Xenopus tropicalis: one gene and its partner. The protein of the gene in region 2 purifies or fractionates together with the protein of the main gene of each other region. This does not show direct contact. Links are inferred from orthologs where the notes say so. Each region holds a gene or a part of one and is shown on either strand. Other genes may lie near its edges.

The links. Proteins that work in one complex are often made in the same cells at the same time.
Region 1: the proteins of nfx1 (region 2) and larp1 purify together in Homo sapiens (affinity purification with mass spectrometry, with the first as the bait; 3 studies listed by BioGRID). This does not show direct contact. The link is inferred for Xenopus tropicalis from reciprocal best matches to the Homo sapiens genes NFX1 and LARP1.

The regions. Positions count from the first base shown.
Region 1 is NC_030679.2:19,800,805-19,804,459, forward strand, and holds part of larp1 (la-related protein 1), read left to right. Parts: coding exon 1-131; intron 132-397; coding exon 398-572; intron 573-746; coding exon 747-919; intron 920-1,709; coding exon 1,710-2,090; intron 2,091-3,655. UniProt on the Homo sapiens protein: RNA-binding protein that regulates the translation of specific target mRNA species downstream of the mTORC1 complex, in function of growth signals and nutrient availability.
Region 2 is NC_030682.2:76,153,575-76,157,329, forward strand, and holds the start of nfx1 (transcriptional repressor NF-X1), read right to left. Parts: upstream 2,651-3,755; 5' UTR 2,433-2,650; coding exon 2,411-2,432; intron 1-2,410. UniProt on the Homo sapiens protein: Binds to the X-box motif of MHC class II genes and represses their expression. May play an important role in regulating the duration of an inflammatory response by limiting the period in which MHC class II molecules are induced by interferon-gamma.

The DNA of each region.
Region 1 (3,655 bases), on a different chromosome or scaffold from region 2:
GTGTGGACAACCTGCAGAGGGACTTCTTTTTGCGCCGGAAGATGGATTCTGAAGGTTTTTTGCCCGTTGGTTTGATTGCCAGTTTCCATCGAGTACAGGCTCTTACCACAGATATTGAACTGATAGTCAAGGTAAAGTGAACTGTGTTGAATTTTGTTTAAATAAAAAAAAATATATATACTCAGACCGTACCACTGTTGCTCTTCAGAGCATCTGTGGCTCATGTTAATGAGCACATATATGTTGATGATGAAGGCTTCTTGTGCAGAACTGCATGTCCATATGTTACCAGTATTTGTCATAAAATAAGATGAATGTACCCATTCTTTGATTGTGTGCATGTTTATAGATATATTTAGATAAATGTGTGTGTAAATGATGCCTTTGTGTTCTGCAGGCACTAAAGGATAGCAAAGTGGTAGAGATTATTGATGAGAAAATTCGCAGGAAAGATCAGCCAGATATGTGGCCACTTCCAGGTCCCTCCCTTTCAGATGCTTCCCAGACCGACTTCAATCAACTCATAAACTGTCCTGAATTCGTCCCCAGGCAAGGATTCCAGAAGGAAACAGGTTAGTGACCTTCAGTTGTTAAAGGTATTTATGACAGAAATGTAATTATAAGAAACTTTCCCAGTACACATACATTTATATAGTTGTACAGGCATAAGATCCATTATAAAGAAAGTTTTGACTTATAGGAAGGCCGTCTCTCATAGACTCCCTTTCTTCCCTTTTTGCATAAAGAATCTGCTCCTGGCTCTCCTCGAACATCCAGCCCAGCCCGAACGACAAAATCCGAAGAGGTCTCTAACTTGAAGACCATGCCAAAGGGTCTTTCGGCCAGTTTGCCTGACCTGGACTCTGATAACTGGATAGAAGTCAAGAAAAGGCCGCGACCTTCCCCAGCAAGAACCAAGGTAATGCCAGGTCAAGATTTGGGGCTTGCTAACATAACCTCTATAGCAGGGATCCCCAACCTTTTATACCCGTGAGCCACATTTAAATGGACAAAGTGTTGGGAAGCAACACAAGCATGAAAAATGTTCATGGGGGTGCAAATAAGAGCTATAATTGGCTACCTAATAGCCCCTATGTGGACTGGCAGCCTACAGAAGGCTCTGTTTGGCATTATACTTGGTTTCTATTCAACCAAAACTTGCCCCCTAACCAGGAATTCAAAAATAAGCACCTTCTTTGAGGCCACTGGGAGCAACATCCAAGGGGTTGGGGAGCAACATGTTGCTCCTGAGCCACTGATTGGGGATCCCTGCTCTATAGAGTCCGAGAATACAGTATGAGCGCAACAAATGGAATGATATTACTGTACACTGCAATTACATCATTCCATTTGAAAGGACCCACTGTGCAGTTTATAGATATGCCTTTTATTTATTTATTTCTTGTGTAGAAATAACAAGTAAAGTACTAGGGAATCACTTAATACATGAATTGAACTGCCTTTCCCAGTTTGCAGCTGGAAATAATATACTAGATGTTATGACCCATTAGGTTAGAGAGCAACAAGTAAGTAGCATTACAATAGGCAGACCAAAGCTGCACACCCAGAATAAACCTTGGGATTTAGGACCATAATAAATTCAATGTTCAAGTATTTTTGCCCCTTTGCAGTGCCATAGTATGTTTAAACTGGAAGCTTGTTTAAAACCATTATATTTACTTTTATTTACATTTAATTAACACAAACAGGATGAGGTTAAGTCGCCACAGGTGGTTACACCCTTGCAGGTGACTCCACAAAAGCCACCCAAAGATCAAGATGAGCCAGAGGAATTGGACTTTATGTTTGATGAGGAAATGGAGCAAATGGACGGGCGGAAGAATACTTTTACTGACTGGTCAGACGAGGACTCTGACTATGAGATCGATGATCGAGATGTGAACAAGATTCTTATTGTGACACAGACACCGCCTTCACTACGTAAGCACCCTGGAGGTGACCGCACCGGCAACCACACCTCCCGTGCAAAGATGAGCTCAGAGTTTGCCAAAGTTATTAACGATGGTCTGTTCTATTACGAGCAGGACCTGTGGACTGAACAGTTTGAGCCAGAATACTCTCAGATTAAGGTGAGTTAAGCATAAGCAGTGTTTTCCACATCTGAACTAAACCTTATTTCCTTCTGTTGAGGTCTTAAGATGGCTGTACTCGTACCAAAAAAATTATTTCATATGAATCAGTATGTGTACATCGGCGGATGGTGGGGCCTGTATAAAACTTTTATCTGCTTATGTACTGTATGTGTTAATATATGGTGCACCAGCAGATAAGGTAGTGAAGAGGGGCCAAAACTCCACTTTCTGCTTTTCTGATGGTTTCTCTGTGTAAAAGAGCTGACTTGTGTTGCTTGAGTGTCCATCATCATTTTTGTTTCTGGGCAGGAATCCTAATTCAGAAAAAAAGTTCTCGCTTTGTGTTTTTGTTTTTTTTTTTTTACTTTTGGGTTACTTGTATAAAAGTGACCTTCAGAAAAGATAATGAAAACTCTGCCTTCTTAAATTTGTGTATGATTTGGTTTTGTATACCTGCCATAGGGGTGAGGATTATATAACAGGAGCAGCAGTTATATTGGGGTTGTGCTGGAACATTTGGGATTCCAGTGTCATGTTGCGGTTCATGTGAGAGTTTGTTGTACAGCTTCCGGTGAGAGCAGAATAATAGACACATAAGTGATACCTCTTTTTGGACAATTTTTTGACAGAGGAAACCTCTTCACGTGTGATACTGATTGTATTCAAATTCAGGTTGAGGACTGCAGGCTGTACATGCCAGCTATAGGGGTTTCTAGGCGACAACTGGTGTTTTGTCAAAAGCAGCTTGCCTCTGTAAATGTCCTCAAAGCAAATGCCATGTGACTGGAAGCGGAGAGGAAGCAAAAAGCATTGAATTGCAGTTTACCATTCTGTGTGTTTCCTTCTTTTGGGTACTGATGGGCTATTGTAATTTGTAAGCATGAAATCAGTCAGCTGCTCTCACATGTGCTAAGCCCTTCCACTCTTTGTTGCCCAGCTTTTTCTGGGCCTTGCCTTCCTGTTCCTGGTAACACAGCACTGGGAGTTGTTCGTGTGATGTTTTCTGGACCATCTAAGAGGGCAGTGGTGGGGCATGAGGGGTGTTTTCCAGTTGCAAGGGATGTCTGTCCTGTTATCACTATGTTCTACAAAGCAGAAGAATCCCTCTTTAGCAAACTATTTGAAGTACTGTGTGCGTGCACCTTTATTTCATTGCTGGCCTGGATCTACTTACCCTTCACTAGGAACCTAGAGCAGGAGGAGCTGTATTGGGTCTACCTTGCCACTGTCTTTCCAGGTAGGAGCTTCACTGTGGGCTTTAATATGTGTATTCTGATCTGAAGACTACCAGCATCCTAAGATAGCTACTGGAACTCCTAACTCCCTAAATGTTTGGAATCTCTGCTTCATCTTACTGTTGAACTGGGTTTCAACTAGAAAATACCTATAATTACTTTTCCCCATACCTTGCCAACACCTTAAAAGGACTTTCACAGAAAAACATGAAGAAAGATTTTCTTTTTTTGCTACTGTTTGGCTTTTTAATGGGCTCTGCAAAAATGTGAGTGAAGCTGCTTGTTGAATTGTGTGCTTAAAGGAACAGTAACACCAAAAAATGAAAA
Region 2 (3,755 bases):
TTACATTTTACACTGAAAGAAAATGACAGGTAAAAACATTATCCTTCATAAATCTAGAAGGCTTGGATTTTTGTTAAAAAAAAAAAAAAAAAGTCAGTACAGATATAAAGCTAGCTAGCAATTAAAAAAAAAAATGCGAGCACTAAACCTTTACATTGTAAATGTTTTTGTTCACTGCTATAATAATATTCAAGTCCAGCTACCAAAAAAAAAAAAAAACAGTGCTAATGCTATTACAGTTATATGGATATATGAAGTGGTACTAGTCTTAAAATAATCGCCAAAGCAAGTTTTGTCAAATTAGCATTAGAATACAGAATTGTTGGGTAATCTCCTTGGTTTGTGCCTTCCTCCAGTGCAGCCATAAATGTAATAGGGCACGATTATCCCAGAAAGATGTAGATGGATGCATGCATATTCAAATGACACTGAAGACTTGTACCATACTAGATGAGATTCCCTTTCATTATAGGAAGACACTAACCCCTGAGAGTTGGCGCTCACAAATCACTACTAGTGATTTGTGAGCGCCAACTCTCAGGGGTTAATATTGGAAGCACTTCACGGATTAGATAGAGGAAGGCAGCTCGGAGACACATAAATAAAAAATGTTTTTTTTGGTTTTTTTTCACAATTGAGAGGTTAAGTAGTGGGGTTTTTCACCCTTTTTTTTCTCACTGGTCTTTTAACAGTAGTAAATTCACTTTGACACTTTTAGAGCGTGGATAAGGTTTGCACATATTATGGGAAGACACCCCAGTGTTTAGTTAACATGAATATTCTTGGGGGAAAAAGACAAAATTCATGTCGTACACAGTTACATAGGGCTGAAAAAAGACCACAGTCCATCAAGTTCAACCCTTCCAAGTGCACCCGGCATACACAAACCTATACTGAGCTATCTATACACTCACATACATAAACCACATATACCAACATCAATACTAACTGTAGATTTTAGTATTACAATAGCCTTGGATATTACATGTGTTCAATAAATCATCCAAGCCCTCTGAAAGGCATTAATAGAATCTGCCATCACAACATCACTGCCCTTTCTATGAAAAAAACACTTAGAATGCTTCAAATGAAAGTTAAGTTTCTCTAGAGGGGTGGCCTCTTTGGTCTGATCGTTTTCATGGGAAAAAAAGATATATTCCTATAACCCCCCTATCTGCGTTATAAGCCTAAAAAGTAGTGTTGAGTCTTATACTGTTTTACAAAACGCTGTTTCAAAGAAACGCTCCTTAATAATTATGTCACTGGTATAAAGCTAGTCATATGAAGACGACTCCAGTGATCTAAACAAACTGATAATTGACTATTATAGCCACCTGAGTGTTTGGGCATTTCAGTCACCTAATAGTGTCTTGTTGGCCTGTCCAACTTCATCTGATCCAGACTGAGATAAAATAAAATGCCCGAAAAATAAGGGGCCTATTTATCGTTAGGTTTCGCTGTGTAAAAACAGTGTAATTTTTTTTACTCTGTTTATCTTCCGCCAGAACATGCGTAAAATAACGGTGTAAAATCTACCATGTGGTTTTTAACACAAGCAATGCCCACAGCAGAGTGTAACTGAGATGTTTTAATTTTACTACAAATTCAGTGTACTATATGTATGTAAGCATTTGGAGGATGTGGGTGGACTTTAGCTTCAGTTCACAGCTTCGACAGCAAGAATATGAATACAGGTGCATAGTAAATAAGTGTGTTTTCCCCCTACTACATTCACACATTGCTCCATGTGGGCCCATAAGCATGTCAATTGCCCAAAATTATTACAATTATCATTTTAAAATGGTGGAGAGTTGACATGATACTTACAACCATATAATTCTTATTCTAATTTCACCAAGTTTTAAATTGTCACTATGTTTGCAGTGGGTTGACATTTGTTAAAGAGGAATGTTCATGTCAGCTGTTCTGAAATGTGGCTCCCAGACAATGGCTTAAAAGCATGGCAGCAACTGTAGTTCAGCAACAGATAAAAGTGGGGAAAAAACACTTAAACAATCTGTAATGGAAAATCAAAGAGCCTTACAACCCAGTTAATGCTAAGGATTTTCCCTGCAGAAACCTAAATATGGATAACTTGCATTTGAAAGTTAACTTACGGTTATAAAATGTCAGATTACGCGCATGCAATTTGGCCTGTGTCACAACAAGCAATATCTGAAATACTCCTCTTGAAAATATAAAATATAATAATTCAGTTTTACTGTTAACAGCAACTCATTCACATTCAGACATTTAAAGCCTGTAAAAAAACTGAGACCCAAAAATGTCCTATATGTAATTAACTTTGAATCTAACTAGCTGTCATCCGGTAATGTTGAAAGCTGAAGCTCACCAACACCCAGGGAACCATAGGCTGGATATTTTGTAACATTTGGAATCTATTATTTACCTGAAGGCTGACCCTCAGCCATGTTGATAAGCTGAGGATTCCCTGTTGTATCTACCCAGGTTACTCAACAGCTCACGTGTATCCCAGGAGTTAAGCACCGAAGGCCAGCGGATGTTCCCCAGCACAGAAACACCGGTAAGGGCTAGAATGGAGAGGCTTAAAGGAGGTTGTGAAGTCACAAGTCATGTGACCAAGATGTGGGAGGGTGAGTGATGTCACAGGGGGAGTGTTTTCCTGCTATCTCTCTCTATCCCTGCCTACCAATGTCATAGCACCATGTGACATATTTGGGAAAGAAGGTTCTGGTGCCATGCTTGAAAAGGGAGGGGGAGTTTCAATGTATAGTTCTGCTCGTGCAAGGTAAAAGGGTTTGCAGAAAGCTGACGGGTAAGAGTAGTGAGATCTGCTGAGGAACTGTAGTTAGGAAAATTCTGAGATAAGTTGTGTGTGCGAGCGCTAAGCTTTTAGAGCTTCTGAAATCGTTCACTGTTCGCAGTTCATTATAAGTACCTGACGAGCAGGGATCTGTGTGTTCACACACATACTTTTCTCCGTGGCGAAATGCCATGCTAAACTAACGATATGATTCTGCTATAATGGTGCATGCAGTCTTTCTTTAATTACTACTATCGTGTTGCGCCCTGTTCCTAGCTACTGTGAGCCTGCACGCAGCGCCAAAGACTTCAAAGCCAGAACGAGAGAGAGCTGTTGGTTGGTGGAGAGGCGGAATTGCCAGGTTTATTTTTCCAAACCTGCCAAAATCAGTTCTAAAACCAGCCCAAAACTAGCCAAAAACCACTTTTAAAGTAGCCCAAAAATAGCCTAATATGTGAAAAAAATTCTAAAAAAATGAAAGCATATATGGGAAAACATGCCTTTTTAAAGTGTATAATAACTACTCATGCCCTGTTCCTCCCCCTCTCAAGTTACTTGCATGGCTGATAATTCCCTGCTCTCTGTGTCCAGCTGGGAAGTCACTACAGAAATAGATTCCAAATGTTGCATTAACCCCAGACTTGATATACATATGGGTGCGTTGAACTACAACTCTCAGAAGCCCCAAGATATCCTGAGAGTTATAGCTTAAGGATCAACTGCAGAACTGCCCCCACATCACAGTACAAAGTGATACTACAATCACATACCCTATAGCACAGGGAGTAAGGTTGTAGGGCAGACAGGTTGAGTCTGAAAGAGCAAAAAAGAATACAAAACGGAGCCTCTTTCTATACTGTCCAATTGCATGTTGGGTATTGTAGTTTTACATTAATCCTAGCTGTAGGCTAATTGTAAGAAACAAACTACATAACCCAGCATGCAGTGGAACAGGCACAGTAGGGGGAAA